Arabidopsis thaliana: one gene and its partner. The protein of the gene in region 1 interacts with the protein of each later gene in a pairwise test. Each region holds a gene or a part of one and is shown on either strand. Other genes may lie near its edges.

Region 1 (7,309 bases):
AATGAAGATATGTCATTTCAGGTAACTGATATGGTAATACGGAAAAATATCCTAGTAATATTTGGTCAGCAAAATTGGTTTTGCCATAACCGGAAAGATTCCAAAACAATCGTCACTTTAAAATCAAACCAACCGAACATCGAAAAGATTCGTCTGTTGTTGTCTTCTTCTTCTTCAACTTGTTCTTTGTTTCTCTTTCGCCTCTTGAGTTCCTCACTTCTTGGTTCTACCTTCATTCATGTCTCTATCCAAATCTATCTGGTAACTCAAAATCATCACTTCTTCTACTCAACAATTTCACAATCCCATCCCCAATTTTACAATCCCTAGATCTCCCTCCCTCTTCAATTCGCTGTAGTTTTCATGGACCTTGTTCGATTGAGAGACATAGGTTCAATTTCACCTCAGAGAAGAAGGAAATGGCTGATTCTATTAGCGGTTTTCGGTGTTTCGGGTTACGGAGTTTACAGGGTTTACAATTCTCAATACATCGCTAAGAAGACGAAGCGTCTTATGAAACTCTTCTCAGGCATTGTTTCATTCGCCGAAATGGTCATCGATTCCGCGGAGACGATAAGTATCGTTTCTCGAGATTTGAAAGAGTTTCTCGAATCAAATTCCCACGAAATCCCTAATAGCTTGAAACAGCTATCGAAAATCACCAAATCAAAAGAGTTCACTGATTCTCTAGCTAGGGTTTCTGAAGCTGTAGCGATTGGTGTTTTCCGTGGGTATAATTCCGATCCAAACGTCGAAAAAGAATCGAATTTGAGTGTAGTTGATAGAGTTTTCTCAGAGGAAGGAGCTGGTTTTGTTTCTGTTGTTGTTGGTAGTTTTGCTAAGAATCTTGTTCTTGGATTTTACTCTGGTGAGATTGAGATTGGTAGTGATGATTCTTTAAAACCTAGATGGATGAATTTGCTTAGTGATGATAAGTGTAGAGAGCTTTTAGCAGATTGTATTGAGAGATTCACTAGCTCAGCTGTATCGGTGTATATCGATAAAACGGTTGGTGTTAATACTTATGATCAGATATTCGCTGGTTTGACGAATCCGAAACATCGAGATAGTGCTCGAGATGTTCTTGTTTCGGTTTGTAATGGAGCTCTTGAGACGTTCATGAGAACTTCTCATGATGTCTTCACATCTTCAGGAGAGAAAACCGATTCCTCCTTGAGGAAGTCGGAGAATCGAGAAAACGGATGGGCAGAGGCGCTTTCGACTACTTTAGCAGTGCCGAGTAATAGGAAGTTCATGTTTGATGTTACGGGAAGAGTGACGCTAGAGACGATGAGATCAATTCTTGAGTTTGTAATCTTGAAAACGTCACAAAGTTTTAAGAGGAGTTTGGATGTGATTCATGAAGAAGTTACAGAGAGAGGACGTCAAGTAGTTGGATACGTTGGTGCCAAATCTTCAGTGATAATCACTGTTTGTCTTGCGGTTTACTTTCACATCTTTAACCGCTTTGTTCGAGGCCCTCCGGTTTGTTTAAGCCAGCAATTCTAGTTAATCGGATCGATCTATTAGCTTGTTAGAGTTGTTAGGGACATTAGATCTTCAGCCTTCCATATTCTTATTGGTAAGTTGGAGCTGAATAGCGTAGTAGAGTCTTAGCAGTGTTATGTACCCACATATTCATTATTGTTTATTTATAGAGGATTCTTGAGATAATCTCTGCATCTATGCTACCATTTCCAGTCAAACCATATAATGTATTCGAATGGATGTTGCCGGCGGAGCGGACTAGGCAACTCTATTTCTTGGGGCGGATTTATCCGCATCAAATTTATCTTTATGTAAGAGCCGTATGTAGTAAAATATTTTTAATTTTTTCGGGCATATTAAGACGGACTATAATTCATGAATGGTAAATAAAAAATAATCTACTCCACAAACGGATTTATCCGCTAACAACCATGAAAGAGAAAAAAGATTTAATTGTCACTGTAGCAAATCGGCAGTTATTGAGGTTTCCCCGCTCCGATTGACGCAACACGCCAAGATTTTGCCAACGCTAAAGCAAATCAGATCGAAGATTTGTGCTCTCTTCTATCTCTCACTCGCATCGAATTCAGCAAAAATTAAAATTGAAGAACGAGTCAAAGATAGAGAGAGAAAAACCCTATTCGATCACGAGATCGTAATCAACGTTTTTAGCAGAATCATCGGAGGGTAGAAAAAATGCTCAACGATGGCGAAGTAACTCCTTCTAGGTAAACAAGTCAGATTCTTTTGTTGTTCTATGTTTGATCTCGTGCTTAGTTCCAGTCACTGCTCAAATTGAAATGAGATAGTTTTCTATTTGATGAATTTTGTTATTCCACCATGAAATTGCTTAATTCGAATACTAAGATTTCGTAGTAATTCAGCATTTATTTGATTCGATCTTGCTTAAATTGATTTTGTTGTCTGCTTCATGTTTTTTCAGACATGAGATTCTGAGTATGGTGAAGAAGCACTCAAAGTCATTAGGAAAGACGTCTCTTGATGAGCAAGATGCGTCTGATGTAGAAATGGACTCTAATTTCTGGCATGGTGTGTTTGATGTGTACTTTGTTCGTTGCATGGAGTCGAGGAGGCGACAAGACGATGATCTTCTGTTTTTTGTCAGGAAATTGGTATGTAAAGCTTGGACCTTTTTCTCTCAGTCGAAAACTTAGAACTTTGTTATCATCCTTCTTGTTAATGTTGTTGAGTGTTTTGTTGCTTTTGCCAGAGCTGTAAGTCATATGGTTTGACTGAAAATGAGGATGCACCAGCTCCTTACTTTGTACGCAGGTGGGCACCTAAGGTAAAAAACTGTACGAAATAATACAGATACCTAGTTAGATCTCACTACATGAGGTTTGGTTTTGACATGTAACATTTCAACTGCGATGTAAAAATTGTATATTAACAAGGTCTTAGATTGCAACTCCCCTGAAGGTGATGGAAATATTAATTTTACTTCTTTTCGGGTGAGGGATTAAAGTAAGCTAGAGTACTACGTGCTTATTGTAAAGGATTGTCTTTTCTGGCCTACATGCTAAAGCTTTTCACGATCCATCATATCTTATTTAGACCATGGGACAGAGACACTTCGAGTAACCATTTATTTGTTGTGTTGCACCTTGTATGTATTGTCTACAAACATATGATAATGCATTTCTTTCTTACTTGTAAAGCAGTTAGATGAGCTGCTTGGTGAAAGTCTGGCTGAAGTTGATTGGAGGAAATCATTTTATTTGAACATGATTGCCCACACATCGTTCACTGTTACTGTTGCGATTTGCAGGTAACCGTTTCAGTCAGATTGTGATTAGCGGCATCCTGTACTAATTTCATGTTGTCTAATTTACAGCAGTTGTCAATTCTTGTTCTGTTATTGCTAATATTACTATCCTTCTTTCCTGTTTGGGGTTCAAACTCATCTTATTGCATCAATCATTACTTCAGTCTAGCTATTTATTAGGTTGGAATCTCAGATACCATCTTCTTAGTTTCAGTGATTAGGCCTTGAGTCATTTTTATGACATGTTCTCTGGTCTATATACTACTTATCATATGACTTTTTGTCTTTCCATTTGACTGCATCATGGTAACTTTGTTTGAACTACTTGTGTTTTTAGTAATGAGGCCCTTAAGACGTACCAAGGAAGTAAAGACACAAAACTATCTCCTATATACAAGGTTAGAGATCCTAAGAGTTTTGGATAATATTACTCTTGACTTTTCAACTCTTCTATAATCTTTTCATATGAAAAAGAAACTGAAGCCAAAGAGTAGTTATATACTCTGCTGTTCAAAATATATCAGTGCAGCTTTGTTCTAATCATCAACCTATTAAGAAAAGAGTAAGGAAACGGAATATGAATTCAGTTTTGTTTTCATAAGGAGAGGACTTTTCACATGAGTCTTGGACCAAGCATATGGATATTTCTTTGGTTTCATTTTCTGTAAGTCAATAGTAATCATGTTCTCTAATCTGACATTCATATTGTGCAGGTTGTAAAAACTGTATATGCATCACCTAGTCGTGTTAATTTTCATCTGGACTCAAAGAAGGCAAGTATAGTCGCTTTTCTCATACCAATGTTTGTCCTTTTGGAATTTGTGTTTGATGTTTCCATTGTTGTTTACCTAGGAAGTGGAAACAACACCTGCCTACCCAGAAATTTGTTTTGCCGTAGATGATTTTGACTCAACCTTTGATGCTGTGGTAACAAATTTTCTTCTCCCTTTTTGTTGTATTGTCCTTCCAACTGTTATATTATGTAGTCATTTCGTTCAAAGAAACTCTAAACATGAATGTCAAAGGAATTATGACATTTTGTTCATAATGAAATCGGCTCTGGAAGAATAGTTTTTAGTTGAGGAAATATGCATGAACTCCCCTTTGTCACTAGGGTGAAGTTACGTGCATTCTTAGTTTCTCCTTAACTGGATAGTAAAATCTTTTGTAGGATACGTTTGTTGGCTTTTGGTACAGGACTGGAGGATCCAGATAATATTATTTCAACTACCTCTTGCGGTGCTTTAACATCCTCTCCTTATTTGAGTTTAGTACCTGCTATTTATTATCTTCTTCAGAGGATTGGCCTGTCTTCTTCTTTAGTTTTGCTTAGGCGTAGAGGAGTTTGGCTTTATGATTCCTATAAATAACTTAAGTCGTATGGTTAGGTTTCATGCATGGAAGTTGTTATACTGACCATAGTTTTTTTCCAACCTTGTTCATTGGCTTTGTCATTGATGTTTTCAGGTTCTGACAGATAAAGATCATTGCTATTGCGTACTACTTAATTCTCACGATGGGGCAGCCTTTCCAAGTGCAACTGTTAAAGATTCGAGTGATTCTAATACGAATGCTGACCCTAGAACTGTGAAAGATCCTAAGGTCTAGTTTTTTCCCACCTATGCTTCACTATTTTCAGCAGTTGCTGCCAATCATCTATCAATTATTCATTTGCCACCTGCTATGAGTTTCAAATAGATTCCTTAATTTGTGGTTAATGCTTGAAAATATCTTGTAACCATGTCATACAGAGGAATATGTCGGTAGTTTCACTGATGCTTGCAACGGTCGATCTTAAACAAATTAACTAAAGTATTGTTTGTGATTTTTGTAAAGATGATTTAACTTCAAGCTCAATGGTTTTCAAAAGGCCTATGGACACATTACATGGTCGTGACTTTCTAATGAGAAAGAAATTGACATGCTGGTGCTTTTGGTTGCAGGTTACTCTGTTTTCTGGGTTTGTCAGCTATCAGATGGTTCGAGAAGCCTATGAAGGTCACTTTACAGTTTCTTTTCTATTTCTTATTCAGTTTTAGAACCTAGTTCAATTCTCCAGCAACTTTTGTAGTTATGGTTTACTTGCCTTAGTCTTCTAGTACTTAGCACTATCATTGTCGATCTCGGTCTTTCATATTTCTCCCAAAATATTTGATGGAAAGTATATATTAAGGGTCCATGATAGTACGGAACTTGGTCTCGAGCTTGACTCCACTATAGCACACAGAATTCATTAGTGGTTATTCATGTCAGGGAAACATGCAGTCTTAATATTCATGCCTTTACTCATTTACTCAAAAAGTAAAGTCGAAATTTTTGGAAGTAGTATGGTTCGTTTAGAGATCAAGGAGGTGTGAATATGAAACGGTACCCAACCTGACAACCTCAAGATGGCTGGACTACAAAATTAACTTTTGTAGACATGGAATTTTGAGATATTAAGAGCTAAAAGACCTAAAGGAACCTATTGCTTGTTTCCTTGTCTATATAGGCTGAGATCGCTTTCGTTGATTTGGGCTAATTAATATTTTCACGCTTTATGTTTTTTCATCTAATAACTTTTATTACAGGGGGGAGGAATCGGTTTGGAAGTCTCCTATCTCTCGGTCATATTACAGGAAAAGCAGACAGACTTTATATGAGAGGCCCAGGAGGACGTGGAGAAGTTGAAGTAGCTGTTTCTGGCGTTGTAGGTACTTTTCATTTCTTATGCTTGAATGGCTCTTTATTTTCCTGTTAGTGTTTTGTTTCCCTATTTTCTCGAGTGTTACAGTGCAGTTAGTAATATTCCATGGAAGATAAAAAAAAAAAAGTAAAAACATAGAGAATGCCCTAGCCAACAATTGTCTTAGGTCGGATTGTCTTAATAGCAGCAATATTTAAGAAGTACAATCGCCAAAATTTAAGAGTAGGAGACTTGTTGAAATGTATATTGAAGACGTAGTATGGTTTAAAGGATGATTGTATAGAATTGCTTTTCTCAGATCAGAGCCAAGTAGTTTTAGGGCCTGTTTCACCTATGTCTTCAAAGAAGAGCATCGATCTCGGATCCATTTTCCGTAAAGCAGCCTCTGTTGCATCTGTCGCAGCTAAACATGCAATAGCAGCTGCTACTGCCTCTTATGATGAAGACGAGATGTTCCCTCTTAAATGCTGCTTAATGTCCATTTCATTACCATGGGACACTATTGCTCATGATCTTTTATTCAAGGTAACAAATGATTTCTCTTTAGCCACACCGGTCGTCAACAATAGACACTAATAGATCTTTTCGATATTGCTGATCGATTCCACTAATCGTCTTTATTTAGGCAACTCCACCAGTCAACATGGAGTAGCACACTCTGGAATGAAGCGTAGGAAACAGAAGTTTGTGTGTTTTGTCTAAATGTTTTTTTTTTTTGTACTTTGATTGAATATTCCTTTTGTGATGTTACTCGACTATGTGGTTTACCACAACCACTGTTATTACCTCAAGGAATAAATGAAAGTAAAGTTGTGAATTTGCAATCATCAAGTCTATATGTTTTGGCTACTCTTCTTGTTTAGTATAATGTGGACTCGCTCAGCCTATACTTTGACAAACAGAATGAATTTCGGTTAGTTAATCAAGGTCCGGTTATTTATATAAAACTTAAGTTCGGTTCGGATCGATAAATCTTTGATTCAGTTTGGTTCGGTTTTTAGGTCGATCCCTATGAGATACAGATGTCTTGCATAGAAAGTATAGAAGATATGGTATTTAAACATGTGAAATAAAACAGCTTTTTGCCATCTTTTGTTGGACTTTACTTGAGAATGTGGAATGCTAAAGAATAAAAAGAAATTAGGGTAGACAAATAAGGAGGAAGCACATGAATCCAACTCTTGGTGGTAGACATTTCTTATTAGATGACAAAACTCTGTTTTAGGTTAAACTAAGGTGTATAGCTTTCTAAGAAAAGGAATTGTGTTAAAATATAGATCGGTTGTTAGACATTTCCTAATTAGATGACAAAACTCTGTATCTGAGGTTAAACTAATGCTTCTATTTTA
Region 2 (4,620 bases), about 22 Mb from region 1:
GTCCGTCGAAGGAGTCCAAGGATGAGCGCCATGACGGTATCCGCGATTTCCTCGGCTCGTGAAGTATCTACATGGACAAGTCGGAGACCTAGGTCGGCGGCGAGAGTCGAATCGACAGCGCGATCAGCAGAGCCAAGGCAGAGAATGAGCTGGTGAGGACGGAGTCGGCGTTGAGCTGCTCGTGGAAGATACGCGAGGGAATGGAGGAGAACGGCGGTGGCGGACTCGATCTTACCATCGGCGATGCGGCTGAGCGGGACGTATTCGACACCAGCAACGCCGGCGAGGGAGTCTTGCTCGAGCGCACAATCCTCTATACAGTTGAGTGTAACGACGTGAGGCGACGCCGGTGACGGCTGGTCGCGATGTGGCATTGTCGCAGACGAACGGATCTTGCTCATCTCCTCCTTCTTCTCGCTACTCTCGAGGAGTGAAATTTTGATTTTGGGAACATAATGATTTAGGGTTCAATGTTGTAAACTCTTACAAAATTAAGGGGCTAAATTTCATTTATAATAATTTTCAGGGCCCAAAATACAATTTAAACAAATTGACAATAATTTTTTAGTCCAATGCTCATGCTCCCCCGATAAGACGTCATCGGTTTGACATTTATGATAAACGACGCCGTCTTCCACTTGGCTTGTTGTAATAATTTAATTTACTAATTGCAAACAGATACTGAATACAGGTGAAACATGTACATTCCCTATTCCACATTATTTCCTGACCAGAAACCGAAAGACAAACTCCAGCGTTTGACAACAACAACAATAACACGAAATCTCTTTCTACACAAGAGCAACGACATAGACAGACTTGAGAAAAGAAAGAACAAAAGAACATGACTGGAGCAAGATGGGAACTCTCTTTTGTGCTACTAAAGTATATGAACAGAGCCGAATATATATATATATTCAAAAGGACACAAACAGGTGAAAACCAAAAGCTCTATACATCTATCTACCAAAATTCTATCTCTTTTATAACCCACTACGTTACCGACATTCTTAGTAGATCTCGAAATGTCTAAGTGGGTTTTTAGTTTATGGTAGGTGATGATCAGAGAAACCTCCTACGAAGGTTACTAGTTGTTGCTTGATACGAACGCATGAGTAATCCAACTCCAATGCCTACACCAAGACACATCCCAAGGCCTATCCCAACTCCGACTCTGACTCCTGCATTGAACCATGAGAGCTGACCATCCTCATCAACGTACATTCCTTCAGGGTAATATCTCTGTGCCATTTTCATATCTGAGTCATCGTATTCATCAACTTCTGATTCCATCATCTGCATAAACGAAACGACAAACAAGATAAAGCACCAAAAAAAGTGCAAAGAGAGTCTATTGACCTATATCCATATCTCAATTTCTGATCAGTCAACAATTCTACAATTTTCAAATTCAGCTGTAGAGTCAAAGAAAACATTCAAGCAGGAGCTAAATTCACCAGAAACTTGCGAGTGATCTTAATAACTAAATATCTGCTACAGCATTCATAACTCACAAAACTAGACGAAAGAAGCAACCTTTTCAAATCTCAATCCCAAGTTATTAAGAATCGTAACTTAAGGGCTTGGACAATCACCAAACAGAGAATTGTGAAATCAGAATCATACCTGTACTTTGCTTTGACGGGCCAATTCATCACCAATGGTACCAATGTCTTGCTCTTTGCCAACTTCCTCATCCTCAGGGATAGCGTCGAGTGTCACGTGCCTAGCCACCTTCCTCCTCGGACTCGCCTGAATCGTCTTGGTCAATATCACCGGGACACCACCACAACAACCAGCTATATAAACCTCGACGGACGGAGACGAGACTCCAAACTTTGGCTGGAAAAACACAGAGGCAGAAGGACCTGACACGTGTCCGTTTCCCATAGCAATGTAACAATCCATGCCCCATCCAGTCTTGGGATCACTCACAGTTCCATTGTTCCAAGCACCTTCGATTCTATCTAGGTTCCCACACAAGACCATATCCTCGTTATCATAAACCTCGAAATCAACGCATCCGGTAACGCGAACGGTCTCAGTGCTCACGTAAGTCACCTCCGACGATTCCCGGTCGACTCTGTCACGGCGGAGTTTAAGCGACGCCGTCTGCGACGAAGGAACGCGAACGCCGTTAACCTCAAGAGAAGCACCGGTTTCGCGACGAGGGTGACGGAGGGTGAGGAAGTCAGGGACGTTCTCAACGACGCAAGGAGCGATACGGACGTAGAACAAACGAACCTCCAGCCACGCCGATTGCGACAACGAAATTGATGATGCCGGAGACGGCGGCGATACGGTGGAGGTATTCATGTGGTACGATTTGGTTGTACCCAGAGGATCCAGATGATGAAGGTGATCTTTCGAAATCATCGAGAACGATTAGATTCAAGAAAACCTAAATTCGCAAATCTGGATTTGATGAGAAAATTGAAGGATTTGAGGAACAAGCAGAGAATGAATGAGAGGAGGAATCGAACAGGAACTTTTTTGTTTGTTTGTTTGTTTGTTGTGTTTAGGTTTTTGAGGGTTTCAGATATTTTCGAAGGTAAAAAAAGGTCAAAAAATTATAATTTGATTGAAGACGAGGTAATTACGGAGGGGTCAAAGAAGAAGAAACCGACAGGATAAAATACCCTCCTCACCTGTGAGATTCGCACGTGTGACAGTTTTTTTTGGCTTTTTCCACACAAACAAAAAAGGTTTAATAACTGGGCCATCAATTCCACACAGTCCGTTAAATGGGCTTAAATCATATGGACTCAGCTCAATTGCTACAAATCATGTTAGACCACTTTTTTTTTTCGTCAACTACATATGGTTCTTTGCAAAAAAGTTATGGATATATATAGTTTTGTATAATTGTAAAAAGCAGACCACATTTAGATCTTAGTAAATAATGATTCAGAAAGCAACATCATTTTACTCATTCGGGTCATTGACCGTACGGAAATTATTAATTTTAATCATAGCTATTACATTCTTTAGTAGATGTTCTTTTTCTCAATGGTTTAAGAGAAAATTTATCAGCTGTTGAACTTTTATCCTTGGAGGATTCCTCACCGTTCGATTTTAGATCTTGTCGGAGAAATTGGACTAACTTTGGATATATATTTATAGGCCGGCTATAATGTTTTCTTCTTCATCCTCTTTTTGTTAACACCGAAAAGATTGGGGCTTGTCATTTCACTTTCTAATTACTTAATTAGGTAGGCGAATATAATCATAAAGTAACATTCATATATAAGATTAATCTGACATCAATATTTAATTAACGTTTAGCTGAAATAAAGATTTTGCAATTCATGTGTATGTCCGCAACTCAAGATCCGTGTCGGAGGTTTACTTAGTTGATTTTATGTCACTTAATTGCACCACGTAGCATGATATTGATCGTATTTTAGATCCTCCAATTGTAAGATTGGTTTTACTTTTTTAATACATTTCGTAATTTTTAGTTAACATTTAATTCATAATCATATTTTACGCTGACGATGGACTTTTTTACTATTTAGAGGTTAATTAACTGATAACACGCTTTATTTTGCCTTAGATTATATAGTGTGCAATTATGATAGTGAACTAATTAAAATAGTTAAGATAACTATATTGTCCCCAATTGTACGTGTTTCCACATATAAAAACACTGTCTGATATATTCTTAAGTAGCATTGTAGCAACATCATCACTTTAATTTTAAGATAAGATTAAAAAAATATTTTAGATAATAAACTGAAAGTTAACAAAAATAGACTTTAATTGTCAAAAACAAGCAACTCCATTAGTAGCAGCTTCAAATGTTTTTATAGAGCATTTTCAATTTTGGTCAAACTATAAAGCAAAAGTTTTTATAGAATTCTCTTTTTTTTTTTTTTTTTTTGTCAAAGTTTACCAGAAAATAATAAATGAGTACTTAGGTCAAATTGTGTTTACTCTTTGATTCATCGCCAAATTACTACATGCAATGCAAGTCCTCTGAAGGCTTAGAATCGACGGTCCAGATCAGAAGATGAGGATGGTACGATCAACGTAAGGGTAAGAATTGACTATTAAGCCGCCTTTTTTTATAATAACAAAATACATAGAATTTGTACATCAGAGTAATAGGTCCCACATCCCACTCTAAGTGGCCCAGATTTACACAAATCTCATCACGTCTCGTTTCCTCTACTCGCAGTTTGCTGCGTGTTCTCACGCGCTAGCCAAAAACACAATCCACTTGTATATATATTTCGTGGACGTCAAATATTAAAGAGAAATAATAATTAATCTACGTGGGCAAACACGTGGAATATGCAGCTGTTTCCCACTACTAATGTATGTTTTTTTTTTTTTTGTGTGTGGCTTGGAGAATATTATTTGTCTTTATTTAGAGAATCAAATTCGTGTAGGATTGGCAAACCGATGGTGGGAGCGAGGACTCAATTATTAGACAACGTACTTCGTATACATATAACTTGAGAAAATAAATCAATCATAGAATGGAAGTTTATATATAAAAATGCAATAAGAAATATTGACAATTTGAGTGTTTCAATATTTTCTTAATGATTGTATACATTATTTATTTCCTACAGTATGTTTTTACCAACAAAAAACAACCAACATTTATATTAT

Evidence for each region.
Region 2: the proteins of CW7 (region 1) and AT1G01500 interact in a two-hybrid assay, tested with the Arabidopsis thaliana proteins (one large-scale study listed by BioGRID).

What each region holds. Positions count from the first base shown.
Region 1 is NC_003070.9:21,859,405-21,866,713, forward strand, and holds CW7 (CW7), read left to right. Parts: upstream 1-1,877; 5' UTR 1,878-2,184; coding exon 2,185-2,216; intron 2,217-2,431; coding exon 2,432-2,621; intron 2,622-2,719; coding exon 2,720-2,794; intron 2,795-3,170; coding exon 3,171-3,277; intron 3,278-3,611; coding exon 3,612-3,672; intron 3,673-3,987; coding exon 3,988-4,047; coding exon of another isoform or gene 4,048-4,051; intron 4,052-4,126; coding exon 4,127-4,201; intron 4,202-4,741; coding exon 4,742-4,876; intron 4,877-5,217; coding exon 5,218-5,272; intron 5,273-5,844; coding exon 5,845-5,967; coding exon of another isoform or gene 5,968-6,014; exon of another isoform or gene 6,015-6,258; coding exon 6,259-6,536; 3' UTR 6,537-6,585; coding exon of another isoform or gene 6,586-6,612; 3' UTR 6,613-6,806; downstream 6,807-7,309. Other genes in the region: CF9 (Carbohydrate-binding protein), read left to right, coding at 364-1,509.
Region 2 is NC_003070.9:183,016-187,635, reverse strand, and holds AT1G01500 (Erythronate-4-phosphate dehydrogenase family protein), read right to left. Parts: upstream 2,604-4,620; 5' UTR 2,377-2,603; coding exon 1,627-2,376; intron 1,297-1,626; coding exon 1,063-1,296; 3' UTR 501-1,062; downstream 1-500. Other genes in the region: AN (NAD(P)-binding Rossmann-fold superfamily protein), read right to left, coding at 1-401.